4 linked regions of the Lonchura striata genome follow. The protein of the gene in region 3 interacts with the protein of the main gene of each other region in a pairwise test. Links are inferred from orthologs where the notes say so. Each region holds a gene or a part of one and is shown on either strand. Other genes may lie near its edges.

What was found.
Region 1: the proteins of AMOTL2 (region 3) and THRA interact in binary tests that used the Homo sapiens proteins (3 or more experiments, as listed by UniProt). The two-hybrid records come from large-scale screens. The link is inferred for Lonchura striata from reciprocal best matches to the Homo sapiens genes AMOTL2 and THRA.
Region 2: the proteins of AMOTL2 (region 3) and NFIL3 interact in binary tests that used the Homo sapiens proteins (3 or more experiments, as listed by UniProt). The two-hybrid records come from large-scale screens. The link is inferred for Lonchura striata from reciprocal best matches to the Homo sapiens genes AMOTL2 and NFIL3.
Region 4: the proteins of AMOTL2 (region 3) and BRMS1L interact in binary tests that used the Homo sapiens proteins (3 or more experiments, as listed by UniProt). The two-hybrid records come from large-scale screens. The link is inferred for Lonchura striata from reciprocal best matches to the Homo sapiens genes AMOTL2 and BRMS1L.

What each region holds. Positions count from the first base shown.
Region 1 is NC_134627.1:7,028,488-7,035,812, forward strand, and holds the start of THRA (thyroid hormone receptor alpha), read right to left. Parts: upstream 3,127-7,325; 5' UTR 3,025-3,126; intron 1-3,024.
Region 2 is NC_134642.1:7,511,795-7,519,698, reverse strand, and holds the start of NFIL3 (nuclear factor interleukin-3-regulated protein), read right to left. Parts: upstream 3,221-7,904; 5' UTR 3,114-3,220; intron 1,409-3,113; exon of another isoform or gene 1,386-1,408; intron 1,296-1,385; exon of another isoform or gene 1,158-1,295; intron 1-1,157.
Region 3 is NC_134612.1:5,558,289-5,566,004, reverse strand, and holds the start of AMOTL2 (angiomotin-like protein 2), read left to right. Parts: upstream 1-4,645; 5' UTR 4,646-4,727; coding exon 4,728-5,431; intron 5,432-6,737; coding exon 6,738-6,960; intron 6,961-7,447; coding exon 7,448-7,592; intron 7,593-7,716. UniProt on the Homo sapiens protein: Regulates the translocation of phosphorylated SRC to peripheral cell-matrix adhesion sites. Required for proper architecture of actin filaments.
Region 4 is NC_134608.1:25,089,882-25,097,291, forward strand, and holds the start of BRMS1L (breast cancer metastasis-suppressor 1-like protein), read right to left. Parts: upstream 3,098-7,410; 5' UTR 2,994-3,097; coding exon 2,858-2,993; intron 1-2,857. UniProt on the Homo sapiens protein: Involved in the histone deacetylase (HDAC1)-dependent transcriptional repression activity. When overexpressed in lung cancer cell line that lacks p53/TP53 expression, inhibits cell growth.

The sequences.
Region 1 (7,325 bases), on a different chromosome or scaffold from region 3:
CAGTGGGGACAGCGTGCCGTGCCGTGCCGAGCCGTGAGGCTGCAGGAATCCCAGGCATGCACAGCAGCTGGGCAGCCCGAGCAAGGGGGATGCCACGGGCCTGACATCAGGGCAGCCCACCCAGTGCCACGGGAGCCCTGCATGGTGCCCCCTCCCCACAAATGTGGGGTCTGGGCTGTGCTGTGGCACAGGATGGCTGAGCCAGGGTTTGTGTTCTCCCTGTGGCTCATGGCTCATTGAAGCCACCACTCGTAGGACAACTGGCAGGGCTGGTGACCTGTCCCGACACTGACTGGGCACCCAACGTTGTGGCCTTGAGCCTATGACAAATCCTGTGTCCAACGGGTCCTGCATCACCACAGTGGGGACCTGCACCATGACCTGCCCCCAGCCCCGCAGCCCCCACAAACCCCATGGGATTCCTAAGAACACTACATCCAACCAAGGCCACACCGGCCACTCCTTCCCGCTGTGTGTGAGCATTCAGCTGTGCCTCCTTTTCCCCATCCCGCTTCAGCTTCCCTTCCCACCGGGGCTGCCTGGCAGAGAAAGAGCCACACTCCCATATCCCCAGCCCCGTGTCCCCTGTGCCAGCACACAGGATGCGGCTCATCCCGATGTCACCGCTTGTCCAGGCCACGAAGGTCACCCAACAGGGACCCCTGAGCACCTGGTGTGTGCTGAGTGTGCCCAGTCTCAGCTCTTGGGGGTGGCTGCGGGCCCCGAGCCCCGCGGGGTGCCCCTGGCCCCAGGAGGTGTGCTGGGACGCCGGGAGCTATTCTCAGCCCTTGGCACGGCATGGGACGTTTCTAAATCGGGGGCTCTGGTTCACGTGCAGGGAACGGGGGGGGGGGGGAGAGCTCCTGGGTCCCCTCCCGGGGGGGCCCTGCTTGAAAGGGGGAGGCGGCCACCACGAGGTGCCCAGCGTGGGCACCCACGAGGGGACACAGGGACAGGCACCGGGACACGGAACCGAGATTGCCCGTGGGAACCCATCGCCCCCTGAGAAGGGGACACCAGGGACAATCCTCGCAGTGCTCCTGCAGTCAGCCGACCCTGTCCGAGGGTCTGCAGCGCAGGGGACATCCCGAACGGCACCGCCCCGGGGGCCGGACCCCGCTGCGCCCCCCGCCCGCATCCAGCCTGAGCGGGGCCCTGGGAGCGCAGCCCGCGCCCGCCTTCGCCTGCACCGCGGCCCCTCTTCTCCTCCTCCTCTTCCCCCCCAGTCCGGAGGGGGACCCACGCGTCCGGCCCCGCCTCCACGCACCGGCGGCTGCGCGGGGTCCGGCGGGGCCGGGGGTCCGCGGGATGGGACCCCCGGGGCGGCCCCGCCGCTGCTTCGGGCTCCGCTGACCCGGGAATGCACTCGCGGGGCGACGAGCGGAGCCGATGGGGGGCGGGGGGTTTCAGCTTCCTGCAGCCGCCGCCCGTCGGGAGGGGTCCGGGGGTGCGCCCGCAGCCCCCCCGTTCCCGCTCCGCAGAGTGCGGGACACCGGGTGTGTACGGAACCCGCGCTCGCCCCTCCGGGAGCCCGTCCGCGGAGCGACCACGCCGCGGCCCCGCGAAGGTCACGGCGGCGGGAGGGTAAGGGGTGCCGGGGAGAACCCCCGTGCGAGGATCCCGCTCCCCCGGCCCGCGGGGCCCGCACCGTTGCGGGGGGCACACGCAGCCGCACGGCACTGCCGTGGGGAGGGGGGGACGCGCCGCGTCCCCACCCTGCGCCAAGACCCCCGGGCAGGGGAGCCCCCCCCAAACCGGTTCCACCGGGGTTTGCCCGCGCCCCACGGCGGCCCCGGTCCCCCTAGCGCTCCAGCGGAGCCGCGGGGGTCCCCGGTGCCGTCGAGGGTCAGGCGGGGTGAGGCGCAGCCCGGCCTCCCGGTGCGGCTCCGGTGTCGGTGCCGGTGGCAGCCCCCGGCGGGGGGGGTCACGGCTGAAGGTCGCGGTCCCGGGGTGACCTTGGCCGTGGCGCCCGCCCGCCCCTGCCTCAGTTTCCCCGCATCGCACAGTGGGGACGCGCCACAGTCCGGTTGGGACCGCATCCCTAACCCCGGCGGCGACACCGGAGCGGGGGCAGGATCCGCCCCCCCCGGGGTTGGGGTGGGGGACATCCCGCGGGACCGCGGGGCGCCGTGCAGAGGGGAGCCCCCGCCACGCCCCGCGCCCCGCTCAGGGCGAAGCCTGTGGTGCGGGGCTAGAGCCCCCCCTCCGCCCCGCCGCACCGGGGACGCCCCCCCGCTGCCCCCGCCCTAACCGGGAGCGGCCGAACCGCCCCCCCGCCCCCCCCCCCGCTCTCTGCTCTCGGCGCAAAAAAAAAAAAAAAAAAAAATTTAAAAAATATTTTTAAATTTTAAAAATTAAAAAATCGCAGCATTCCTGCAGCCCTGCGCAGTGGGTGCGGGGGAGCGGACACAGGGGCCCCTAAAGCCCTCACGGACACTCCACGGCACCGTCACGGCCCGGCCGTCCACGGTTCTCCCCCCCCCGCCGCGACAGGGCCACGGCCTGCCCACGGCCCGGCCCCGCGACCTGCCCACGGCGCGGCCCCGCGCCCATCACCGCAGAGCCACGCCGCGGCCCGGACCCCGCCACGCCGCCACGCCACGGCCACGGGGGGGCCGCGGGGCCGGGGGGCCACACCGGGGGGGGGCTGCCCCCGTGGCGTGGCGTGGCGGGCGGGGGGCAGCGCCGTGCCCCGCATGCAGCAGCGGCGGGTGCGGTGGGGATGGGGGGCGCGGTGCCCCCCCCCCGCCCCCCACGGGGGAACGCGGCCCCCCCGCCCCACGCCAAACGCCCGGATTTTCCAAGGAAAAAAAAAAAAAAAATCTCTCCCCGTGTTTTTTCCTCGCGGTTCGCGGCCCCCGAGCTCTCCGCGGGTCCCGAGCCTCCCGACCCGATCGCCCCCCAGCCCCCCATTCCACGCACCGAACTGAGCCCGTGCTCAGCCGGGGGGGCCCGGGGGGGGCGGCGGTAAACAACCGGAGGGTGGCGGGGCCGCTCGGGCCGGCGGGGCCGCTCGGGCCGTACCTGAGGTCGACGGCGGCGGGCGCGGAGCGGCGGTGCGGGGTGCGGAGCGGGGCTCGGAGCGGCGGTGCGGGGCTCGGAGCGGAGCGGGGCGCAGCGGCGGCGGCGGCGGCGGACGAACGGCGCTGGCTCCTCCCTCCCCCGGCCCCGCCGCCCGCCCGCTCCGCTCCGCCGCGGCCGCAGCCCCCTCCGCCGGCCGCAGCCGCTCCCTGCACCCGCCGCGCCCGGCCCCGCGTGGGGACCCACGGGGGAGCGGCGGGGTCCGGGCGGACCGCGGGAGGGTGACACCGGGGTGGGCAGAGAGGCACACGGGGATCACGGGGTGGGGATGGTGGCCGTGGCAGGGTGCGTGGTGGCAGCCCTGACGGTGCCCACGGGGATGTGGTGACAGCGACAACGAGGACGGGGGGTGGTGAGCACAGGGTGGGGGGCTGTGTGCAGGGGGGGCTAGGGGAAGTGGCCACGGGGGTTGGGGACGGCACCCACGGGGAGGTGGGGACAGTGCCCACGGGAGTTTGGGGCCCCGGGATCCTGGGGCGGTGCTCGTGGTGGGGTGAAGCTGGTGCCCACAGGAGTTTGGGACGGTGCTCACGGGGATGTCGTGACAGTGACAACAGGGACGGGGGATGGCGACCACCGCGTGGCGGGCTGTACCGAAGGGGGACCGGAGACGGTGCCCAGGGAGGCCCAGGGGGATGCCCGTGGCAGGGCGGGGATGGTACCCACAGGCACTGGGAACAGCACCCACGGGGATGCTGTGACAGTGACAACCTGGTGTCCACGAGGGCAGGGCACGGCACCCGCAGGGAGCTGGGGACGGTGCCCACGGCGATGCTGTGATAGTGACAGTGACCCTACAGGATTTGGGGACAGCACCCAGGAAGGGCTGGGACGGTGCCCTCGCTGGGTGGCGGTGGGGTGGAGATGATGCTCAAGGAGATCTGGGACAGTCCCCATGGGGCTTGGTGACAGTGCCCACGAGGCAAGGGGCAGCTCCACACCCCGGATGCCCAGCCCGGCCCGGGGAGGGGCACACACCAGACACGGGGGTCCCCCTCAGATCCACACCGCCCCGGGCAGGAGACAATCCCGCAGGACACCCGCACGTCGGGGGGCCCTGCCCCTGCGCCCCCCGGGGGATGTGTGGGACGGGGAACAACGGGGGTCGTACCCCGCTGTGGGGCCGGACCCGGAGCCGCCGTGGGGCTGGGGATGGCGGCGGCACCGGGAGCCCGGGGGGGATCACTGGGGAGGGCGCTGAGGGTCGCCCACCGACCCGGCCGTGCCACCCCACCCCCTTCCCAGCAGCCCGTGCTCCCAGCCCCCCCTTTTCCTCCCCGGACTACACGTCCCGTCATGCCCGGGCTTAAAGCGGCTCTGCCGCCCCCCTCATCCCCGCCCGGAGCCCCGCAGCTCGGCCCTGGGACCCCCGGGGGGTTCAGTCTGGCCGCCCCCCACCCCCCAGCCCCCTGGGTACCCCCCTCCCTGGGCTGCACGGGCGGTGCGGTGATACCCAGGGGATGAGGGGGATGGGGGTCTCCCGGGCATGAAGGCTTCTAGGAGAGGAGGGTCTCCAAGGGATGAAGGTTTCCTTGGGAGGGGTGTACCCAGGGGATGGTTTCCCACACTTGGGGAGCGCAGGCAACACCCAGGGAAGGTGAGGGGGGGGTCCCCACGGGCCAGCGGCTGTCAGGGCACGGTGCTGCTCAGAATGGGGACAACAAGGGGGCAGTGCTACCCGGGGATCTCCAGGGGATGGTGGTCCCCAGGTAATGCGAGTCCCCAGGGGAAGGTGGTCGCCAGGGGATGGGGGTACCCAGCGGATGGAGGAGAGCGACACCTGGGACTGCCACAGAACCCATGGACCTCCTGCTGCCCCCGGTCCCCACAGGCCGGTGGTCCCCATAGCCCCCATCGATCCCCTGGCCCCCCGGGTCACCCTGGGGCCCTCATCCGCACGGCTGGCGGTCCCAGCGTGGCGGGGCAGCAGCAGCGTGACGGCCCCCCCGTCCCTCCCCGCCTGTTCCGTACACTTTATCCTCAGCAAACACGGCTCGGCCACGGCCCCCCGCAGCCGTCTGCCCGCGATAAGGCTGTGGCTGAGCTCGCCTGCCCCCAGCCTATGGGGCTCAGCCATCTCAACACCACCTCATGTCCCCAGATCCCCCTGCTTGAGGTTGCCTGACAGCCTCTATCCCATTGGGGAAACTGAGGCAGAGCTGGAGTTTGCCTGTGGCCTCTCTGGAGCACACAGACAGGCGCTTCTCGCGCTCATCACCAGCTCCCCGTCCCCACTGAGGTTCCCCCAGTGCCACCACAGGTCTCTGCACTGCCCCAGTAGAGTGGGGACCTTGTGCCCTGTGGCAGACCCTGATCTGAGGGGATTTGGGATTTAGAGGGGCTGTGCTGCTCTAGTTGGCTGGAACACGCTCATTAAAGTTCACCCCGCTGCTCTGTGGCAGAAACACTAAATATAGCCCCAAGTCACCAGTGGTGCCCCCCAGGACCCCCAAGAAGGTGATGACACCAGGCACCTCCATCCCCAGCACTGGCTACCCCCATGGGGCAGCACCCACCACCAACTGGGGGGTCCGGACGGCCCCATGGGGGTGTCCCTCTATCCCGGATCAGATCCTTCACACCCCACCAAACACCAGTCAGCAGCCATGTGCCCCCCGGCAGGACGCGGCACCAGAGCTCCCAGCCACCCCACTGACCCCGTGGGAAGGGGAAGCCCCTCACGCTGGCCCCCGCTCGCCCCTCGCTTGCCCCCGGCGCTGGGAACGGCCCCAGCCCCTTCCGGCCCCCCCGGCCCCGGGCCGGAGGCAGCTGTGCCGGGGCTCCCTGCCAAGGCGCCGAGGCTTCGACGCCTTCCCCCCAGCCGGCCGCCCCCGCGGCACCCCGGGGAGCTGCGACCCCCCGAGCACCCCCTGCCACCCCCGACCCTGCCAGCACCACCACCACCACCCCTGCCCCGGAGTTTGGGGGTGCTGTGCCGGGGTTGGGGGGGTCCAGCAGGGCTCCTCAGAGCCCCTCCTGCCTGGAGACCCCCGTGGTGTCTGTTCCACGGCCAGCTGTGGGAAGCGACCCCCCCCTTGCACAGGAAATCCCTCCTCATGGATAGGGCTCCCCCCCGGCGGGACCCCCCCGCTGCCGGGGTGTCCCCCCCGCCGCCGGGGCCCCTCGCCGCCCGGGCAGCCGCTGGCCCGCTTAATCCCGGCCCCGGCACGGGGGGATTTGCTGCGCCCCGGCCCCATGAATGATTAACCGGGGAATTAAGGGGCCGCGAAACCCCCCCGGAGCAGCGCGGAGGGGGGGGGGGGTGTGACTGAGCTCCCACCCCAGCCCCCCTGGAGGTCTTCACCCTGCTCCTGAGCCTTGGGGGTTCCCTTGGGGAATTCTGGGGGTACTGAGGGTTTTGGGGGGGCTGGGAGTGTTCTAGGGGTGCAGAGGCCTGGGGGTGTTTGGGTTGCAGGAGGGGTGCTGGGGGGCTATTGGGGGCATTCTGGGAGGGTTGGTGCGCTGGGAGTACTGGGGGGGGCTGTCAGTTCTGGGGGGCTGCCCCCCAGCCTTGCTCCCCATCCTCCCGTTGCCATGGCGACGGCTGGCACCATCCCTGGGGATATTTTTAGCTGCTGGTACTGCAGGGAGGGGGTGGGGGGCAGCCCAGGCCCATGGCGGCGCCACGTGTGTGCACACACGTGTCTGCAGCACACGGCCTTGCACACGCGTGTGTGCCCACCCCTGCGCTGGTACCTGTGCGTGCACACCCGCCCGGGGGTGCTGGTGTCTGCGCGTGTGTGCAACAACACACACAGACACACACCGCACACACTCATGTGCATCCACACGTGTGAACACACCCGCCTGTGTCACACGCAGTCCTCAGTGCACGCCTGTGGTTGCACACGCACGCGGGCACACCTCTGTGCTCACACACTGGTGTGCACACCTGTGCTCATGTGTGTGCGTGTGTGAACATCTGTACATCTGTGTGTACACACGTGCACACACACTGTCCTGTGTGCACACCTGCACAAACGCACAGAGAAACATGCTGGGAGATCCGTGCTGCCACCCCAGAGCCTTTGCACACTCACGCCTTTGCACCATTTTTGCACATCCCTTGTTTTTACACTTACCCCGTTTGTACATCCCCTGTTCTTACACTTACCCCGTTTGTACATCCCCTGTTCTTACACTCACCCTGTCTTTGCACAACTCCTCATTTTCACACGTATCCTTCCCCCCGTGTTTGTACCCCCCCACCTTTCCACACCCCTGCTATTTGCACACCCGCCCCT
Region 2 (7,904 bases), on a different chromosome or scaffold from region 3:
TTGCATAAGTGTAGTTTGCATAACTATTTGTTAAAATAAGTCAATTTAAAATGAGTTAAAGGTTTATTTTATTTAAGAGTTTTATTTCAAGATAAAGGATTGGAAAAAAGCAGCATTGTGCTGATATCTTTCTCAGACTCTCTTTTGACTCTACTGCAATAGAAAGAATGTATGTTCTATAAATTTCATCCAAAGCAAGGCAAATACTGTTCCCTCTTAAGATGAGATAAGCTGTTTGGAGGTCATGTAAGTTCATACTGCCCATGGGAAGATTCTTAGCTTCTTGACACCTTCACATCTGTTTCATAAATACAAAAGCTAACAAACAAAAAAAATCCCCCCCAGACCTCATAACAAAACGCAAAACAACCCCCACCAAAACAGCAGAAACTTGTAGTTTTGGATGCAAATTCAGGAAGCTGGATATTTTGAAAGCTAGTCAAGAGTCCTTTGGAGCACAAGATAAAAATATAAAGTAAATGAAAGTGGAGGCAGAATATTCTAACGCTTATTAGCATTTTAACAGTCAAAGACATCTGTAATGTGAGACATGTGTAATGTAACAATAACTGTTAGTGCCAATGTTATTAACGATCCTTATTCAGCAGTCCTTGAACTTGTTGGCTTAAATCAGGCTTTTGGGCCAAAACACCAAATCCTTATTCATTCGAGTTTCTCATCAAAGTCAAGATTTTGACTGAATAAGGACCATAAAAGCAATGGACATAGCAATATTTCAAACGAGGCTCTGGATTTAATTAATTACTGAGGAGGGCAAAGATAACTCAAAGTAGGTTACATACACACTGGAGCAAACATAACGAAACTAAGTGCAATCATTCAAGTTACAAGGACAACAAAAAAAAACAGGGTTGCTTTTAACAAAACTGTAACTCCAAAAAAGCCTCACTGTCAAAGCTGTACTTGGCCCCAGCAATCAAGCAGCAAAAAAAGTTTATGCAGTTACCAAGAATATTACGTTTTTAAAATACTTTGCTACTACTTGCTATAGCAGGTACAATGAACATAAAGCCTGTGGCTGGGGTACTCGGTTGGGAGGTTTTTGGTCAGAAGCACAGAGATGTTGGTTTCACGTATTGGAGAACCGTTTTAGTAATTAAAAATTGAAAAAAAAAATTAAAATAAATTAAAAGCACCTCATCTTGAAAGGCAAGTCAGAAACTTTCAAGCTATGCTCCTATCGAGGACACAGCACAAGCCGGCCCCAGAGTACAAAACACACAGCCACTGCGACGCCGAACCGACTTGGGAAAAACATTACAGAATTAGGCAATGATGATTTTTTTTTTTCCTCCCCCCGCCTTTATGATGTTGTTGTCGCTCGTTACGTAAGAAACGAAAGAAAACGCTCATCCCGTGCCTACCAGCGAGGGCCTTTGTCTGGCGATCCCTGCCTGCAGGCGACGCTGGGACTGGGGGGGCGATGGGCAGCGGGGTGGGGACGCTCCGCGGGGCGCGGTGCGGGGCCGAGCCGCGGGATCGGCGCCGCCACAAAGGCGGCCCGGCTCGGCCCCGCGGCCCCCTACGTGACCGGCGGCGCACGGCCCCGGCCCGCCCGGCCCCGCGCTGCCAGCCCGCCGCCCCCCCGCCGCCGCCGCCGCCCCAGCCCAGAACAAAGGGCTGAGGGGAGCGCACGCCCGCCGCCCTCGCCCGCCGCCGCGCCCCGCCGCCCGGGGGAAAGGGAGGCAGCGGCGACCCCCGCGAGCCCCGCGAGGAGAAGCGGGCGCGGAGGGCTCCGCGCAGCCAGCTCCGCTCCCCCGCCCATCGCGTCTGTCACACTGACCTACTCCCCCGGAGCCCGCGCCGCTGCCCCGCGGGGCCGGCCGCACCTGGCCCCCCGCCCGCCGGGCACGGCCGGGACGGCTCTTCCTCTCCCCCTCCAGCGCGGCTGAGATCGCCCGTAAACGCCTTTCTTCCTTTAAATCAAGCCATCCCCGTTTGGTTTGTTTTGGTCTGATGCTTTGTTTTTTAAAAATTATTCTTCATTTCTTATCCCCCCCCCACCCACTGAAAGCCCGTACCGGAGAGATGCCACGGCGTCTGGGCGAAACGCCTTCCCTAAAAAAAAATAAATACGGCCTGATCTAAAAAGCCTCTGAAGGCGTAGAGTTAAAAATCCGAGCAAATGCCTCGAACGTCTTACACACGCACGGCTCTGGAGAAAAGACCAGAAATAGCACATGAAGCCACAATTGCTAAAACGCGAAGGGGCTAAATATAGACCCAACACAAATCTCGTTTTAAGGCACCCGGCACGCAGCCCGCGAGCGCGCCTCGCCTCCCCACTTACCCAGTTGTCTACTTCCCTTAATAAACACACTTTAACAAAACCTGTTACAGTTACGGGTTTAGGGGGCTCTTTTTTTTTTTTTTCGGGGCGAGATTGTCCTAGTTTCTTTGTAGGCAGATTATAAAATCGCATAATTAGCTCCCTTTTCCCAGCCCCGCCGCCAGCATATTTTGTGGTTACATAATGCAACATTTCCAGGAACTATTATGCGATCGGTCCCGCAGCGCCTAAAAAACAGCGACAAAAAGTGACGGAAAAGGCTGGCTGAGACAAGCGCAGCCCCGGCGCCGGGCCGCTGCCACTGATCCCGACTGCCCGCGGGCAACATGCCCCTGCGCCGCCCGAGAGAGGACTGGGTCTGGCCGGCGGGCTCCGGCAGCAGCTCCCGGTGGTTCTGCGGCTGGCGCTGCCCGGGACCCAGCCCTCCGCCCCGCACGGCGCCCGCCGCGGCAGCTCCGCTCCCCGCCGGCACATTATGCAACGCGGAGAGCCGCTCCGCCGGCGCTGCCCGGGGCTCGCCCGAAGACACGCGGGGCGCAGCGCGGCACGCCAGGAACGAGCACGCCCCGACAGCCAGAGCCGCCGGCCGGCATCTCCCGGGCTGCCTCCCGCGCCACCACCCCTCCGCCGAGCCGCCCGCCGCCGCGCGGAGCGGCGCCGCCGCCGGACCCTTCCCGCCCGGCGGCGGCCGGAGCTGGCCGGGCTCCCCTTAAGCACGAGCCGATCCCCGCCCGCAGCCAGAGCGAAGCTCCGGGCGGGCGCCACAACTTTGTACGCGCGCCTGCCTTCCTTCCTTCCTTACCTGCAGCGCGCCGCGGAGCGCCGAGCATTCCTCGCCCCGCGCCGGTCCCCGCGCTATGAGGGGGGCGGCGGTGCGGAGCGGGCGCGGTGCGGCGCCGCGCCGTGCGGACGGCGGCGGAGCGGCGGGCGGGAGCGCGCGGCGGCGGCGCGGAGGGATGTGTGTTAGTAGGTCAGGGCTGCGCGGCGCGGCGCTCATAGCCCGCATGCCGGCCGCGCCGCGCCGTGACTGGCGGCCGCGGCCGGCCAATCGGCGCCCGGCGCCGCCGGGAGGCGGCCAATGGGAGCGGGCGGGGGCGGGGCGGGGCGGGGCGCGGGGCGGCGCGCCGTACAGTAGGTCTGTGTGCTGCGATTGCATAACCGCCGGCGGGGGCGGCGCGGGGGGCGCCCGCGCTTACGTAACCGGCGCGGCGGAGCGCGCTGGGGGGCGCTCGCCCCGCGCAGCCTCCGCCCGCCGGGCGCGGCGCCTCCGCTCCGCCGCCGCCCCGGCCCGCACCGCCACCCCGGTCCGCACCGCTTCCCCGGCCCGCACCGCTTCCCCGGCCCGCACCGCCACCCCGGCCCCGCACCGCTTCCCCGGCCCGCACCGCCTCCCCGGCCCCGCACCGCCACCCCGGCCCCGCACCGCCACCCCGGCTCCCGCCGCGGGGCCGCGGTGCGCGGCGTTACGGGGGTGTGTCTGCGCGGCGTGTGGGAACCGCGCCCTCGCACCCGCCGGCTCCGCGCCGTCGGGCGAGGCGCGCTCCCCAGGCGCGCTCCCGCCGCCTCGCCGCGTTCCGCCGGCGGATCGCGCCGCGGCTGCTGTCGCTGGCGGAGAGCGGCGGGGAGAGACGTAAAAGGCGGAGAGGAACGGCAAGGGGAGAGCAGCCCGCTGGCGGCCTTGCCGGGGCTCGTCCGCTGCCCTTGGCGGCCGTCAGGGCTGGAGGATTTCGGTGGCGTCGCTTCATCTCCGCAGCGGGGACGCACTCTGGGGGAGCCGAGTCCCGCCGACCCTCCCGGGGCCATCCCCGCCGGCAGCCCCGTCCCCGCACTCCCCCAGTGATGCTGCGGAGAGCCTGGTGCTGGCTTGCCCCCTGTTTAACCTCCGTGTTAGAAAGTGACACATGGTCTGCGAGAAATCCAGCTGTCAACCCAGAATGGGTTGGGATGCATGCGTTTGATTAGGAGCGAGATATGTACCTTCCTCTTTTTTATCCTCGCAGAAGGTTTGTATCTCCATCTCTTTTTTTTTTTTTTTTTTTTTTTTTTTTTCCTTTCAGAAGTAAAATTTACGGAGACAACAAAAAAAATTCTTTATTAAATCCTAATTACGGAATGTAAATGATTCATTATTTCATTCTGTTAAACATTTACTGAAACAGTATAGTCCTCTCCAACATTATTCTGGTACATTACTCTGTCATCCTGTATTTATATGTCAACAGAGATAGCCCTCTGGAGTAAAGCAAACCTAACAGAAAGCAAATTCAGAGTATTGTTTTTGTTTACCTCAGCCCTTAGTGTTTTATCACATGAACCCAAAATATCCCTCCACAATAGTCTAAATGCCTTGAATCCATTTCTTTATATCTCCCTGGATTATTTAATATGAAAGGTCTAATAACCTTTACTCACACTGGTTTATCCCTCTTCCTTTCCTATTTCTAATATCTAGCCTATGCAGCCTTGTTAAAGGTAACAGACTATGGAGTGTGTGACAATCCCCTGTGACAGACATGGGGATTCAAAAGCAGCCGAGTGCGAGAGATCAACCACTGCCTCCTCCTGGAGGCTGCACAATCAGGGTTTATTTTCCCCGTGCTTCCACTTGCCAGTGGATAACAGATATGCAGAGACAGTTGGCATGCTACTGGAAATGTCAGACATGAGATCCAGCAATAAGCTTGAAGACCTGCTTGCTCATAAATATTGGTGTCTTACTTAAGGTCTTTGGCATAGTGAAGAACCTACGTGAAGAATCTTGTGCAGCACACATTATGTCCCATATGTATCATTCCAGTCCAGTGCACTGAGTTTTCAGGACTGTCAAAAGCCAAAGTAAATCCTGAAACTTCAGGCAGTTTTTAAAATTAAATGGTACACATTGTTTTCACCATGATAAATGGTTTCTTGTTAATCCTGGGCATACACTTTTAACAACTTTAACTCTCACATCTATAAGAAGAAAAAACAAAAAACAGTTCAAATTTGCCTTCATGACTCAAGTTCCAGAAATTCTAGAATTCTAGAAAGAAGTCTCCAAGGCGAGTAATATCCTTCCTATGTGGGTGGAGAGTCTTGGAAATAATATTCCAGATGGAGTTTGGTCACCTATTTGCTTATGTGTTTGTCACTAATTATAATCAGCCATAAAAACAAACCTGATCTTTCTCCCAGATTAGGAAGAAAGATATTTTCTATATTTTACATTACTTCTATTTGGTAGAGGTCAGGAAAATAAAAAAAAAAACCCTTTTACAGCAAAATCTGGTCTTACTCTCCAAATCTTCCAGTAGGCACTTGACAGATTCAGGGAAAAGGTGGGATGCAGGGCTGAGTGCTTTTGTGGTTAAAGGAACATATTCACCATTTTTCCACCTCTTCTGAGATACAGGAATAAATAGCATGGATGAAAGACATAGCTTTGTGTATTCTGCACAAAGGGAATATAAGGCTTTTGGGAAAACTGCAAAAAAGAATCGTTCTATGATTATCCACCTCTGCTGATTTTCCTATTGGAGGGATGAAGTAGGTCATGAAGATCTTCAGCTAAATTCTCAGCTGACTCTAGCATGATATGATTTATACTTGCTTTTGGACAGCACACTATTAACTTCAACTCCTTTAGATTCATTGGTATTTATTGCTACATGACTTAAATTTTCTAAACACTACCTCTGATTTTGACTTAATGAGAATTTCTAAGGCTACACTGAGTCATAGTACTACATGCAAGTCTAGAAAGGCATTTGAGAAGCAATTAACAAAAATGTAACAGAAGAGCCTGTCATCTCAAACATTGGTTAACACCTTGGCATTCAGTTGTGTCCATGCATCTTGGGCTTTCCATAATATCAGCTTTGAATATGACCCAACTTGAAATTTAGAATTGGATGAAAATAAAAGTTCCAATGTACCCAAAGAAAAAAGGCCTTCATTCCTCACTTTTATTATAGTCCACATACAGTACAATGTAGAAAGTGAAATAAATATGGACCAAAATAAGAATAAAATATTTCTTAAGATTATGCTCTACTAAACACAGTTTAATGATTTATTTATATGTATATGCACATACACACATACTCTCTGAAATTAACTGAAGAGATGGTGACTTCTGCTATTATCCTTGGTTCTCTTGCATTGCTTTCTTTATATCTGTAGAAGGTTTACTACATAGCGATGCAATTACAGAAAACTATATTCACCAGTCTTTTTATCTATTTAATGTGATCAGTGCTCAAAAATGTTTAAAACTAACTGACACCTCCAGGGCTCCTGCTCAAGAGCAGTAGTGAAAATTCCATAAAATAGATGAGATTGTGATTTTATAAAGATCAAAGACAGAGATAAAATGCACTATAGAAAAAGGCAAGTCATTTGAATACAGTTGAAAGTATTAATCAAAATATTTCCATGAATCTGGGAACACTTGTGGAAACTGTTCTGGAAAAATATTTGTGCTGTAATGTACTCTTGCTAAAAGCAAACCCGAGAGAAATAGATGTTCACATTGTAACTTAGGCAGACATAAGTGAGGCAATGTTTACTGGAACTGTTAAGTGTGAAGAAACACCAAAAATTTCACAATAAGAGCATGGACTAAATAAAGAAAATTTACATGATACTTCTGCACTGCAACAGCCTACTTAAAGCTTCATGGCTATTCATATGACAAACTAAGAAGGTTATGGGGTTCAAGTATTTTAGATGAGTCTAAGAGCAAACAAAAATATCCTGTTTCTTATGTCTCAAATGCCAGTTCTGCCCATAGAGCATGTTACCCACTTAGACTGAGAGACAATATCAGGAACAGCAATATCTCCAAAACTGATGGAAATATCTGATTTCACCTAAATATTTTAAACACAAAAAAAAGCATTTTCAAATGTTCTTTTTGTTAATGAACACATATATTACTAATGTGTATAACACTGCCCTTACTGAGACTCTCGAGATAATGCTGCCAATGTTGTGGAAAGAAGAAACATGTAACACCATTCATTTTCTATATTGGACTGGAAAAAAAAATCACTGAAAAGTCCTCAAAAATGTGAAAATGTGCCATTTTATGAAGTGTATTGTATGCATATAGAAAGTGGGAAATGCTAGGAATATCACTGAAGAGAAAAATAAAAAAAAAAAAAGAGATGAGTCCTAGCTTCCTTCTCTCCATGACTGAGCAGCAGACATTATCAGCAGGAAATCTGGAGCACACCACATAAAAACACTGGAGAAGGAAAGTCAGCAGGTGCTCTGAGTGACTGAGATGGCAAAGCACATTTTACATCCACATTAATTTGAAAGGAAGGTGGAGATGACACACAGGTAGGAAGATCAGCAATTTCTCATGGCCAGCAGCACAGGAGGGAGACAAGTGACAAGTCATTGCCATTGAGAACTGTTTCAGTATGGTGAAATAAGCTCTCCACGCTAAATTCTACTTTGTGGCACCTTGCTCAGAAATTGCCAAGGACCACATGTGTACTTACTCAGAGCTGCCTCACTGCCAGCTTTTGAATCTCTCTGATTAAATCCTCCAAATTATTGGAGGATTTTGCTGGGAAGTGAGAATTTCTTGAGAAGTAAGATCAGT
Region 3 (7,716 bases):
CAGAAAAGAACAATTTCACATCCAGGAATGGAAATGACTCAGGGGCATTAAAATGCAGGGAAGATGAGAACGAGGAGGGTCCTGGCCCTGTTTTCAGCCACATTTTTCCCCTCTCAAAATTCCTAAGAAGGGGCTCTGTGAAGATGCCTGTGGCACCACTTCCCAGAGTGTATGATTGATGAAGAACTGTGGCAGGAGTCTCTGGAGTGGGGATGTGCCCTGGGTTATCTGTATGGGATCTATAGATCAGCTGCAGAAGAGGAAAGAACCCAGGAGAATGTGGAGGAGAGGGAGCAGGAGCACTCCAAATTTCTGTGATCCTTACTTGGGGCAGATCCAGCATGCCCCTGGAAAAAAGGGGAATCTCAGGGATCTGACTCTGGGAGAGACACCTGAGGTGTGGAGGAGCTGGCTGTCCCCAGAGAGATGGGACAGGTGGGAACAGTGCTGCATTCATCTCTTGGGGATGTCCCCAAAAGCTTCTTTCAGATGGGATCAGTCCTGGTCCCCTCATTGCTCCAGCTGTGTCCCCACCAAGCCTACCAAGGTTTTCCCCTGGGTGGAGAGAGATATTTCCATTCCTTCCTCCACTGAGGAAGAGCCATATCAGTCACAAAGCAGCAACAGGATTAGGGGATTTGGCACAACCAGGAGCATCCCAATCCCACCCATGCCCTGCCCAGTCACATTGAGGTGTTCCCTCTTGGAGTTTTGGGAAGGGAATTTGCTCTGTTGCACAGCAGCACTCCAGGTCACACATTTCCAGGGGGATCAGACCTGGGACAACCCAAAATGATGCAGATTTCAGAGAGAGGACAGGGAAGATGAGCTGGCCTCAGGCCTGGCAGCTTGTGGGGGTATCTCCAGGAGGATAGGATCCCTCTGGGTGGGATGGTGGGAGCAGAGCAAGGGCTGGGGTGCTGCCTTGGCTACCTGTCCCTGGGGATGCAGTTCCCTTTGGAGGCAGCCTGGGCAATCCTGGCACTGGGAAACAGCATTTGTGCAATTCCTTGACCTCCAGCTCCTGGTTGCACTTTGAATCCAGAGTTCGGGACAGAAGCAGGTACCAGGAGGAAGCTTTATCAGGAAGATTGCCATGGAGAGGTTTGAGGGGTTCAGCATGGTCACGGGACACTGCCAGTGGGGCTCACTGGTCACGGGATGCTGTCACCACTGTCACCATCTCCCCAGGAGATGTGCTGAGGCTGCAAACCTCCTCTCCATCCCAGGCACCCACCTCTGCCCACAATGCCCCAGTTTTCCAGGCTCAGCACGGCTGAGGGCTGAGGCATTTTGGGAGCCTGAAGACAGCCGAGGTGATCTCATCCCACGAGTATTTTCTTGGCTCCCTCTCCTCGCTCCAACGCCTCGGCGATAAGGCTGGGCTGAGGTCAGTGGGAGGGTCTGGCATTGCGGAGCCGTGTGTCACCCCGCGGAGCCTGGGACACGGCACCGGAGCCTGGGACACGGCACCGGAGCCTGGGACACGGCACCGGAGCCTGGGACACGGCACCTGCACCTCCCTGGCTCCAGCCAGACACCGAGTCCCCACCCCAGCCTCCAGGATGCTCCACCTGGGAAGAGGGTCCGTGCAGGCAGCCAAAGGTGCCCCCACCACTGCCCACAGGTCCAGCTGCTGTTGTTTCACCTTCTCCTGGGGAAAACAAAAAGGTTGAGGCTTTTCGTACCTCCAGTATTAGAAAGAAGGAGAGGGAACTCTTCAGATCACTTTCCAAAGGGGTCTTATCAGCCCAGGAGGGGTTTCCTGCTGCCAGGAATAGAGCGGTGTTAAGATAGGAAGGGAAGGATGACACAAACATAGATAAAGCTGGGGGACGAGCCAGGAGAAGAATCCTGGCTGCTGGGGCAGCTGGGCTGCTCCCTTGGAGCTCAGGTAGGAGCCCCATCCACCTGGGAAAGAGCAGGGCAGAACCACAGCTAGGTCCTTTCGGAAATGCCACTGCTGGGCTTGGTATATTGGAGTGGTGCATCATCCATCCATCCATCCATCCATTCATCCATCCATCCATCCATCCATCATCCATCCCCATGGTGCTGGGCCTGGGCCCGTGTTTCCAGACTCTGCATGTTCCTGGGGACACAGGGACAAGTGCTGTGCTCTCATCTCCTCCCCACATGAAACTAGACCCTCACTGGGTCTTCAGGGTGCCAATTCCCACATTTCAGCCTTCATCCATGAGGATTTGACTTGTCACTAGGAAAACTGGGCTGGAAAACCTGTTTCTTGAACTTCCAGGTGCTCCTCTTCCTCCAAGTACCGACTCCATCTCTCTGCATTTTCTTTCCATGCTCCCCTGCCTTTGAGTCTGGTACCTGCTGCACATGGGAGATTTATTTATTTCCCCATTTTTTGGGAGATAACCCAGAGGTAGTGAGTTGTGCCTGCAGCCTGTGCCTGCTATTGCACCCTGGGTGCCCCAGGGGTGATACCAGCGTGTGATGGAGCAGGAAAACAAGGAGATGAGGCTGGAGATCCCCACATCCCTCTCCCCACATCATCCTCCCGGCTCTGTGCCAGTCAGAAGATGCCGAGTTCCCTCAAAAGAATGGGAGCTTAATGTCCCGGAGCTAATAAGCAATTTTCCCCTGCACCTGCCTCTCCCCGCTGCCTCCCCTCCGGCCATCTGCTGTCTCGGGGCCTCTGGACTCTGCACTGACAGCCTGGGGCGCCCGGGGCTGAGACGGGGCTGGTGTTTCACTGCTCTGGGGCTGGGGGTGCTCAGTGTCCCCCCAGAGATAAACCGGGGTGGGTTGAAGGGGGAATTCGGCCCCTGATGGTCTCCTCCATCCCTGTGTCCCCCCAGGGAGGTGGGTGGCAGAGCCCAACAGGGGAAACTGAGGCTGGGAGAGCAGCAGGGGCACCCAGACACGAGCTGGCAGGAATTGCTGCATCCACAGCGAGCTGGCAACCCCAGCCGGGGGGGTGTGAGGATGGAGGACACAGGAGGGAGGAATGCAAGGAGGGAGATGTGAAGAGGAGATGCAAGGAGGGGGAAGGTGAGGAGGGGGGATGAGAGATGGGGGATGCAAGAAGTGGGATGTGAAATACGAAGAGGGGGACATAAGGAGGGGGATGTGAGGGAGGGGGATGTGAGGAGGAAGACACGAGGAGGAATGTGAGGTGGAGAATGAGAGGACAGGGGTGTGGGGGGGGGGGATGTGAAGGGGGGGATGTGAGAAGGAGGATGTAAGGAGAGGGACACGAGGAAGGGGGATGAGAGGAGGGGGGATAAGAGGAGGGGAGATGAGAGGACACAGAATGCGAGGCGAGGGGGATGCGAAAAGGGAGAATGTAAAGAGAGGGGTGCGAGAAGGGGGGGCCCGAGGGGGCAGAGCAGATGGGGCCAGCAGGCTCGGGGTTGCCCCGGCCCCGCAGACAAAGGCTGGGGCAGATTTACGGCCCGGGACAGCTGGCGGGCAGAGCCGCCCCCCCGCCCGCAGCTGCCGCTCCCGCTCCCGGCCGCGCTCCTGCGCCGGCGGCGGCCCCGGGGCGGAGCGGGGCGGGACCGGCCCCACATTCCGGGCATAGCAAAGCCCGGCCCGGCCCCCGCGGCTCCGGGACGCTCAGAGCCGCCGCAGCACCGCTCCGCTCCGCCATGCCCCGGTGAGTTCTGCCGCCGGGACCCCCCGGCGCCGGGAACTCCCCAGCACCGGGACCCCCCTGACCGGCACCGGGACCCCCCGAGCGGCATCGGGACCCGCCAGCACCGGGAATCCCCCGGTACTGCCGCCCAACCCCCCCCGGCACAGGGAACCCCTTAGCATTGGGACGCCCCCGACTGGGATCGGGACCCCCGACCGGCACTGGGGTGCCCGGATACGGAGAGGCCCCTCGGGGAAAGGACGCTCCCCCGGCACCGGGAATCCCCCAGCAGGGATCGGGACCTCTCTCGGCAGCGGGACCCACCCGGACCAACAATCCCGGGACCGAGACCCCCTTGGACCGAGATCCTCCCGGCCGAGACTGGGACACCCCTCTGGGGCTGGGATTCTTCGACCGGGATCGACCCCCCCTGGCCCAAGGAAGCCCCCAGTCGGGACTGGGATCCCTTCACGGGAGCCGGGACCCTTCTCCCTGGGATCGGGACTCACCCCCCCCGGCACCTGGACCCTCCCGGGGAAGACCCTCTCCCATACCGGATCCACCCCCAGGGACTGGGAACACTCCTGGAACTCTCCCAAACGGGACAGGAACATCCCCACGGCACTTAGAGCACCCCCCCTTGCCCCACAGAAAAGTCCCAGGACCCTCACCGAGACTGGGACACCTCTGCAAGTCCAGGACCTCCATGTCCGGGTCTGGGGATGGGGTGGTCCCACCCATCTCCCGGTGGCTCTGTGCCCGGTCCCGTGGGGCTTTATCCCCCACTCCCGGGCCAGTGCCAGTCCCGGCTCCATGGGGCACCGGCTCTGGAGGCAGCCCCGGCCCCGGGCTCGCTGACAGTGCCGGTGCTCGGCCACCCCAGTGCGGGGGCTGCTCCGCTCTCCCGCTGCCGCCACGGGCTCCCACCCCTCCGGCACGTCCGGGCCGCATTCCTGGCAAACAATCCCGTGTCCATCAGGATCCGGACTCTCCTGCCCCGACTGCTTCGCAACAACCCCGCTTCTCCCTCTTGCAGGTGTCTCGGCGTGCCCAGTTGCTGTTGAGGTCCCGCGGGACGCCCCTCCCGGGTGGAAAGGTGGCTCTGCCGGCGGCACGGACGGACATGAGGACGGCGGAGGACTCGAACGGGACGGTGCTGCACCGCCTGATCCAGGAGCAGCTGCGCTATGGGAATCTCACGGAGAACCGCACTCTGCTGGCCATCCAGCAGCAGGCTCTGCGCGGCGGCGGCGCCGGGAGCCCCCGCTCCTCGCTGGAGAGCCTCAGCCCGGAGGAGAGCCAGATGGTGCAGCAATCCACGCGGCAGGAGCCGCAGGGCCAGGAGCATCACTCCGACCACGTCTACTTGGAGAACAGCGTCTATCGGCTCTGCCCGCCCAAGGGCGAGGAGCTCCCCAGCTACGAGGAGGCCAAGGCGCATTCCCAGCTGCTGGCCTCGCAGCGGGGAGCGGCGGGCGCGGGGCTCCGGTTCGAGCCCGGTCCGCGCGGGGCCGACAGCGGCGCCCGGCGCCCCGACGAGGCGCTCAAGGAGCTGAAGCACGGCCACGTGCGGTCCCTGAGCGAGCGGCTCATGCGGATGTCGCTGGAGAGGAACGGGGCCAAGGCGCAGAGCCCCATCAGCGCTTCCCACAGCTTCCCGCAGCTCTCCCGGCAGCTCGTCCCCCTGCGCGGGCAGCACCCCGAGGGCACGGAGCCGCGGGGACCGCCCCCGGAGTATCCCTACGTCATCCCTTCCCAGGACGCTTACCTGGCTGAGCCCCGACCCTGCTCCCGGGAAGGTCCTGGATTTCAGCATCCTGAGATCAGGTAAACTCTGGCCCCTGGGCTCTGCTTTTGGATGCCTCCCAGGAATGTCCAGGATGGATGTTTGGAACTTGCAGGATGCGAAGGGCAGTGGGGGCCCAGAGCAGCTGCTTTTGTCCTCACTGGCACAGGCCATGGGGGGTCTGCCGGGAGCACCCTACTCTGCTCCTGTCCCCAGCTCCCCCAGCACGGCTGGGCTTTTCCAACCAGTGACGAAAATCCCATTCCCACAGCAGACCCTGCCTCATCCCCATGCACCAGGAAGGAGCTGGGGGTAACTTAAGGGATAATCTAGGAGCTGGAAGCAGCCCAGGAAACAGATAAATGTGGAATAGGTATGGGGCAGGGTGGAAAACAAATATGGTCCCTGCTCCACATGTCATGTCATGGTCCTGAGCTGGGAATGTCCATGTAACTTGGAATTGCTGCTGAGCAGAGCCTGGGCTGGTGCCAGGTGGTCTGTGGTTCCTTTGGCAGCTCAATACCTCTGGCAACGCTCCAGGGTGACTGTGAGATGGACATCTTGTGGTCCAGACATTACCTAGAATTTGAGAAGGACTGGAAACAGCCTCTTCCATTGTGGAAAATGATGGGAAGAAGGGAACTGGTGGCTCAATGTGAGGACACACTGCTCCCAGCCCTGCTGATCTATCCAGGCAGAGAGTGATAGCATCTCCAGCAGGAAAACCTTCTCCTTCCAGGGAACAAAGAGGGGAAGGGGAGCTGCGAGGAAGATGTATTTATTCTTCCTTGCTCCTATATCATCCCGCAGGAATGCGGGCCCTTGGCGGGCAGCCCGCAGGGGAGCACAGCGGGGCCGGGCCGTGCACAGCCACCCTGCTCAGGGTATTCCAGGCAGGATGTTGAGGTGGGATGCTGCAGCAGTGGCACAAGGGGCAGCCAGGCTGGCCTGGCTCCTCCAAATATAAAAAGGATGCATCCATGGTTTGGCAGTGAGGACCTATGTCAGGAATCTTTGCTTTGCATAGAAAATAAGGAAAAGGCTGGCTTCCAAGGTGCATCCTATGCCAGGCTGCCTGCAGCATTGCCAGGAGGAGAGGGACCTGGGGGGTTGGGAGCCCATCCAGACCCACTGCCCAGGTCCTGGAGGGGTCAGGTCAATGCATCCCTGCACGATGGGATTTGTGATTAGAGAGCGAGCGCTTCCCAGTTCTAAAAAAGCAGGATAGGCACTTCCACCTCCTTCGAGATGACTTGGAGGCACTGGCACGTGCTCGATGGCATGCTGGAGCTGCAGCCAGCCCTCCCACCCTGCCAAACCTTGACTCGCCCTCCTCGCTCTCTGCAGGGTGCTGCCCACCTCGGTGCCGGCCGCGTTCCTGCCGCTGTGTCCGGGCGCGCTGGGTCCGGCCGGCGTGGAGGCCCTGGTCAGCGCCCAGGCGGTGTCGGCCGGCAGCCGCCTGGCCCGGGCAGACGCCGTCCTGCGGGAGAACGAGAGGCTCCAGCGGGAGAGCGAGAAGCTGCGGCGGGAGCTGGAGAGCTGTGCCGAGAAGGCGAGCCGCATCCAGAAGGTGAGGGAGTGGTGGCAGCTTCCCGTGTCCCTCCTGCCCGGGGCGATGCTCGACCAGCTGCCGTGAAAATTCACCCCCTTTAGTGATTTAATCCTTTCTCCTCCTCCCTCTGGCGGCTTGTTCCCCTCGGAGCAGCTGCAGCACGGCAGCCGGGATTGGGGAGAAGGAGCCCATTCTCCAGTGACCCTCTCCCTCCGCCTGTCCCCCCATCCCGGCCGCCACAGAAAGCCCTTTGTGTGGCCGCGTACAAGGGGCGGCTGTTCCCCGTGGCTGGGCTATGGCAGAGCCAAAATCCGTGGAGAGACTCTTCCATAAGAGAAAAGCCCGAAAAAATCAGTTTTCCCCCCCAAAACATGTGCTGGGGGCCTACTCGGGGTGCACTGAGCAGCTCAGTTTGGGCTGAGCACCCTGGCTGGGCTTTGGCTGGCATCTCCCTTTCCTCATTCCATGAATATCTAACCCTGGCTTGTCCCTTCCTCCACCCCAGCTGGAGAGCGAGATCCAGCGCATCTCAGAGGATTATGAAAATCTTGTCAAGGCGTCTTCCAAGCGGGAAGCCTTGGAGAAAGCCATGAGGAACAAGAGGGATTGTGAGATGCGACGGCTGCAGGATTTCAACCGAGACCTGAAAGGTGAGGGGACCCTTTGTGTCCACATCCCCATGGGTGCTCTGTGTCCCTCAGCTGTTTCCATGGGAAACCAGGCTTTTCCCCCTTCCTCCAGCCAAAATCTTGTATTTAAATCTTAATTGGGCTT
Region 4 (7,410 bases), on a different chromosome or scaffold from region 3:
ACAATGGCAAACTATGAGTCCCAATTAAAGACCTAGTACTGTTATTACAGTCAAAAAGGAAGTTTTAAAACACAATATAACCTGAAGTATTTGAAAGCAGAGCAAGAAAATTTGAGACAGAGCTTAAAAAAATGCAATGAATGGGGAGAGTGGGAGAAGAACAATCAGGCCATTAAGAGATACTATTTATATTAAAATATTGTTCTCAAAAGTAAGGCAAAACCGTAATCCCAGAATAAGGCTGAAAATCACATGAAAGAACAAAGTTTTATGTGACTGTTTGACACAATATCCACAACAAAATCAATGTAGTGATTTATAATTTGGGCAGATTTAAAGAATGTGGCAATCGTATTATCCAGAGTTGCCCAAAGCATTTCTGTGCTACAAAAATGAAGCCTCTTTAAAATGTGAAGGCACTTCCCAGTGAAACTAAACAGGAACAAGCACTGGCATACCAACAGTTTTTCCCCTTTATTCTCAAATATGTTTCAAATGTGTTCTTCTATGTTTTTAATTCTAAGTATGTTTTAGTAAGTTCACTCAAAAGCTCTTCTTAAATTAACACGGATGTTATTGTTTGTGTATGTTTAGAGAGTAAAAAGCAAAGAAAACTAGAACTGTAATCCTGGATGAGGATCAGAGCACACCCACTGTTGGAGGGGAAAGGGACTGCATCTTAAATTTTTAACTTGTGTTGCAAGGAAATTGATATTCACTGGTATCTGAGGGTATAGCTGACTTCCTTGTAGATAAAAAAAACCACAGCTACCTCCAATCTCCTCTCAGCTACAAATACTTTGACTTTCTGCCTAGAAGTCTTCAATTCTCCCTTATCATTCATACTAAATGGTAATTCACATGCCAAGTTGCTTTTCAATGTTATCATCTGTATTCTTCCTTCAATAAGATTCATAAAATGGTGAAGATTTTCAGAGTCCTGAAATATATTTAATTCCCCATTTATGGAATTTCTTCCTCATGGTCTTAAACAACACACAAACTATGGAATATGAATTACTGAAAACATAAAATGTTGTAAAATCAAATCTCATGGCTTTCCAATTGAAAATTTACATCACAGGAGATGGAGGATTGCTCATTCCATATTAAAACAGTTGCTAATAGGCCTGACCTGTCTCAAAACTTCAGATTTACCATACAGTTTCATACTGCAAAAAGTATTTAGGGCATTTAAAAACACTTTCAAAATCCCAGTTGTTTTCTCCTACTATACTCAAGCAGTCTAACACAGCAATTAGGGCAACACGGTTTAAAGATAAAAAAATCCACACAGCACTTAAAATGTAACAGCTTTTTTTAATAAGATGTGGCCTATATAAAGTGCTTAAAAAATGGCCAAATTCTCCTCTGGGATAGCAAGCATAACTTGTGGCTTTTTAAATTCATCCCGTATCAACTATTCCATATTCAAGTCAATAAAACACCTGTACTAAATACATAACATCAAAACTAACAATATAGAAAGAGTGACAGCTCTCAAGGACGGTCATGCTTCCTCTAACAGCACCTTTTGTGCAAGTAAAGCAAATTACAAATTTGACAAAAAATTAATTACTAATTTCAATTGAGACTTATTTCTTGGGGTGCTAATCATTTTAAGTCTGTAGGAATAAAAAGCTTACAAGGAGTATGTTGATATTAGTCAAGACACTGAGACAACCATGTAATTTTTTGTCATCATCAAACTTTAAGTACTCCCTTAAGAGCAAGTCTCTGTGGAATGCAACAAAAATTATCTGGAGAGCTTCTGGTGTTGTTCTAAAGAAAAATGAACAGACTACATCCACTTAAAACACACTTACTTCTTCCTAATCCCAGACTCTCAGGCACACAGTGTGATTCTTGGGGTGTTCTGTGCAGAGTCAGGAGTTGGTCTTAATGATCTTTCTGGGTCCCTTCCAACTCAGCATATTCTATGGTTTTAATCTGATGATATAGGGGCCTCAGCACTAAATCACTTAAGCTGCCAGAACCACATGTCAGGACTAGGACTGGCCCAAGTCCACATCGACATCAGGACTTTTCTCAATTCACTAACCCTGTCCAACTTCTTTTCCATCCACTGTCTTGTATGTCATCACTAATCCTACCAGTTATCACCTGGAAACATGTTTTAAGATCAAACACAGAAAGTAGTAATTAGAAGGAAACTTAGAACAGCTAATAATAACCTTCTTAATAACAAGTGTAAATGAAACATAGAAAAAGTGATCCATTTAAAGCTAGATTTCAGCTACTAACGTAATTCAAAATCTACAGTCCAGATGGAAAGTATGGAAATAAGAAGGGAAGCTCAACTGAGCAGAGGCTGAAGTGCTCTGCAAAAGAGGGCAGTGGTATTAACAGGCTTCCAATATCCCCCCCAAAGACAGTTCTTAAAACACCTAGTTGAACTTCGTGAGCTTGCATGGAAATACGTACTTACACACGTGTTCATGCATGCACACGTATGTATATAAGCCCTTAAGTGGAGACCTCAGCGAGGACGCACTCAAGGCCAACAGGGCACAACCCACGCTCCTCCAGCGAGCGGAGGAGCGCGGCCCAGGCCGCCATGGCCGCGTACCCGCCCGCTCCGGAGCCGGGGCTCGGGGCGCAGCGGGGCCCGCTGCCCGTGCGCCCCGCCCCGCTCCTGCGCCCTGGCCGGCCGCCCGGAGAAGAGCCGCTGAAGCAGAGGCTGGGCCGGGGCGGGGTCACGGGGGGAGGGGAAGGAGGGGGCACACCGACAGCAGCAGAGCCGGGCGGAACCGGTGTGTCCCCGGGGCGGCACCGAGCGCTGAGGAGCCGCCGCGGCGCCTTCTCAGCGGCGCTGCCTTGCGGGCGGCTGCGCTACCTGAGCTGTCCCCCTCCTCGGAGACGGACGAGCTCTCGGTCTCCTCCTCCTCAGAGCTGCTGCCCTCGTTCTCTCCGTAGTCCACCTCCATCTCATCGTGATTATTCTCCTTCTTCTCCCGGGAATGCACCGGCATCGTCCCCGCCGCTGCTGTGGAACCCCAAGCCCGCCCTTCCCGCCGCCGCTCCGCCGCTGCCACCGGCCGCTCCGCCCCGCCCGGTGCCTGCGCGCCCGCCCATTGGCCAAGTCCCGCCGCCGTCTGGCGTCACCACGCGCGCGGCGTTCTGGGAATTGTGGTCCGCCCTGAGAGGGCCGGAAGGGCGCTGTGCGGGGCCGGGTGCGTAGCGGCGGCTTTTCGCGCCCCTCTCCTGTCCCGGGACACGCACGGGACTGCTCGGTGCCGAGAGAGGCTTCATCGCGGCCAGGCAGAGTCTCGTACCTGCCCGCGTCTCCCGCAGGACGCCGAGCGAGGCCGTGGCCCTGTGTGGTGGGGGTTCGATCGTGGCCGTTCCCTGCCTCACGTGTGGCCCCACCACTCTCCTGCCGAGGAGTTCTGCATGCTGGCAAGATGTCCCTTATGACTCGGATCTCAGAGGGGAGAGGTCCTTGTGTTATTGAGGGGAAATTCTTTACTGTGAAAGTGGTGAGGAAAAGGTTGCCCAGAGAAGCTGTGGATACCCCATCCCTGGAGGTGTTCCAGGAGCTTTTGGAACAAGATGATCTTTAAGGTGCCTTCCAATTCAAGCCATTTTATGATTCTATGAATAGTGGCCTCCTCAGCAGAACTTGCTACTTCCCCAGTGTCTTATGTTGTCCTGTACGTGTGATATGCTTTAAAGTCAGACTTAACTGGAAGTGGCAGCGGTCCACTGGAGTGGATATGAGAACTGACTAAAGAGACAATCTGCAATCTGTGCAGGTTTGGGATAATTTTTTTGGCTTTGAGTATCAGTACTTATCTGTTCATTGACCAATTGCTGTTAATTGCGGTACATAAGATGTACTGAATAGAAGTGACACTTTCTGGAAAAAGCTGTCTGAACTGTCCTGTTGCTGTGAGGGACTGATTAGCTTCACCTCAGGACCTTGGCACAAGGGAGTCCGGCAGGGATCCTCAAGAGTCCTGAAATACAGAGCTGGTTGTGGCCTGCAGGGCATGTGGGTGATAGCTTTGGGCCGAAGGTGAGCTCACTTGTACTGCACAGGCTCACTCTTGATATCTGGGCCAGCTGAAAGAGCAGTAGAAAAGCACAGTGTGTCTCAGTGATGTGATGTGCCACTTCAAAGGAGTTAAAAGTTGTGTGTGCCTGGCAGGTGCAGTTCTTCATGTTGAAGTCCAAATTTAGTTCCTCTCAGCTGTCTGGATGGATATTATGGAGGCTATATTGTGAGGCAGTTAACTTCTGTGTTTCCCTATGGATTTCCACCTCCACAGCAATAGCTGCCCACCTCAACCACAATAACCACTGCTGTACATTACTCACTTCTTTTCTCCCACATCTCTGTATATCCAATGCAAGTAATTTCCCTGTATCTCCCCAAAGAGGAGTGTATGTAGGTGTGCCACCTCTTCTCCAAGAGCAGTGAGAGAAAAATTAGGCATAACTAACCTCCCACCCTTCGGTGTGCAAACTCCATCCCTTCTCTTCTTGCTGTCTCTGGCTTTTTAATCACAAATGGACGCAGCACCACTTGGCATCCTTTCTCCATACCCATTACGATTTTCATCTTTTCTTTATAGATTCATAGAATGGTTTCAGATGGAAACAGCTTCTCTGGATAAGCCACTCCAGTTCCCCATCACCTTCACAGTAAAGAATGTCTTCCTAACATCTAATACAAACCTACGACTTGTAAAATAACTGTAGCCCGCGTGGGAATCCTGAGTGCTTTCCTAGATCCGCCGCCATCCCTTCCTCCCGCCTGCCAACCTCGCTGCGCTCCGGGCTCCCGGCACCGCCGGCCGTGCGGGGCGGGGCGAGCTCCGGCCGGCCGGACCTCGGCATAAGGGGCCGGGCTGGCCTGGCCCAGCGTTTTTAAACGTGGCTCTGGCTGTTTAACGGAGCAACAGCAGCTGAACTTTTGTCCCCAGGTTTTTGCCAGGAAACTTGTGAGTCCCCGAAGCCTGGCCAAGTGCAGGTTCACATAGCTTTAAAAACCGACCAAAGTAGTTACCAAGGTACTTTTTTTTTTTTTTTCTCCAATCTGGTATTCTTTTGAGGGAGCCTGGTTAAAGTGTTAAACTGGTAGTCAAATGGCTGAAAGGAGCTAGGAGATGGCCTGGAACAACATCAGGAGACATTCCAGAAGAAAACCTAGAAATTTCATCAGTTGGATCTGAATTTTCTTTCAAGATATCCATAGGGATTCAGAAAGGGAAAAAAAAAAAATCACAAAAAAACCCACAAAACACAAAACCAGAAGTAAAAATGTCTAACAATCCCCAATTCAAGTGTTTCCTTTTGGATTAGGAAGATAAAAAGACTAGAAATCAAAGGTTCTGGACTAGGAAAAAAAAAAACAAAAACAAAAACAAAAACAAAACAAAACTACTGGAAATAGTTGCAGGGAAAGGAATGGCAGGAAAACAGGAAACCTTTGGCTTGATTGTTATTTCCTATTCAAACAGTTGGAACAAAGTCTAAAGGAGCTAAAAATAAACCCCAGAAGGAAATCAAAATTTTCATGCCCTGGTTGAAATAAGCAACCAAGATAAGGAGTTAAGACAGAAACTTTTTTTTAACAACACACAACTCCACATGGTTCTATTCTGTTTATAGCCAGGAGAGGGGGGGATTACCCAGCTAAAGCAATCTGTTGTGTGGAGGAAAAAAAAAAAGTACTGGTTGAAGTTAACTTGTCTGTCCAAATGAAGTGCTAGAAAACATAAGAGCAAAGGGTACTTCTGGGCACTACATATGGGCACAAGGCTTATGACAGCTTACAGTTTATTTCCAGACTATAAAGCTAATTTATCAGATCACTTATAAGCCCTTAACATATAAAGTGACAGCACCTATCTTAATCAGATCTCTAGAGGCAAATGCTAGAAGAGGTGGGGAAAGATGAAATTCTACGTGGTCTGTTAGAGGACTTGCAAAGATTTTTGTTTAGTGTGTATAAATACATTTATGAATCCAGCCAACTACCAGAGCACCAGTCTCTGGAATGACCATTTCATCAATATAAGCAAATGCAAGTGTTATGTGTCTATAAAGGTGTGATTTTTTTTTTTTTCTGGATCATGACTTATGCCCTTCATTAGAGTAAAATAACTATTAAGAAGGTGATTGTCATAATCCTCATCTGCTCAGATCTGCATTTAATGGAGAGGTGGGTATTAACAGTTTGGGGGTGGGGGGGCGCGGTTTGTGGTATTTTCCAAAAATCAGAAAGATACCATTAACAGGGATAACTGGCAACCATATAAAAATTAAATCTGGAAAACTAGCATTGAAAAAAATTGGATGCAATAACAATTACTATAAATAAAATGTTGGCTAGTACAGATGTTGGTATCTCCTTTCCCAGTTTTAGACACCTTTAGAAAAAGCTAGGGAGGAAAGCTGTAATTTTACACCTAATTTATGGAATGGAGGCGGTGAGTATGTATCACTTTAGACTCTGAAATGCAGATCCTGACTTTCTGATTATAAACCTGATTGCCAGCTTTTGTTGTAGTGAGTAGTTGCATAGTAACTAAGTATTTCTGACAAGAAGGAGATTGTAAAGGGAGAAACCAGAAATATATATATATAATGTGAGTCATTAGGATACTGGTATAGATGAAACCTTGAAGGAGAAGCAGGGATGAAAGAAATTTTACCATGTGTGCAATATAGTGCACTATATCTTAATGAGTTGAAAATAACTTCTCATTTGGAGTCTCTCCCATCTCAAAGATGTAGCATTTTGGACTGGTAGTCTTGGACTGGTCATCAATCACAAGTCTGGATGTTGGGGTGAGGTCCTCCAAAGGTGCCAAAGAGCAACCTATTAGCCAAAAAGAAGTGGTTGCCCTGGGGTCTCTAGATTCTAGCAAACAAAATTATTTCACTTTCTATCACTAAAAAAATATACTCTGGATACTTTATTAAATCTAATTCTTCACCCTCAATTTGAAAGTGCAATATTAGGAGGTAGGTCACAAGAGCTCTGAAAAGACTATTTGCATGCAAGTCAAGATCAGCAGCAATTTAAAGCAGCAGTCATGGAGTACCAGTTATGAGCTGTGTTTGAAGGCTATTGGATGAAGTTCATTCCTCTGATCATGGGGGTTTTTTAAGCAAAATACTTTGATACATGCTGCAAAAGGTGTAAAGTTTTACCAATCAAAATAAATGCAAAGAGATATGACCTATTTCCAAAATATCCATTTTCCTCCTGTGGGTGACATAACAGGAGAGATTGGGGCAAAATGTTTCCTTTGATAGAACAGAATTCTGTACAAAATTCTCTCTCCCCTAGGGGCTGGCAGACATGCACAGGGTTTCTTTTGTGCATTTGTCAATATTGCAAAGCTATTTCAGAAGTTGGGAAAGAAAAATAAAACA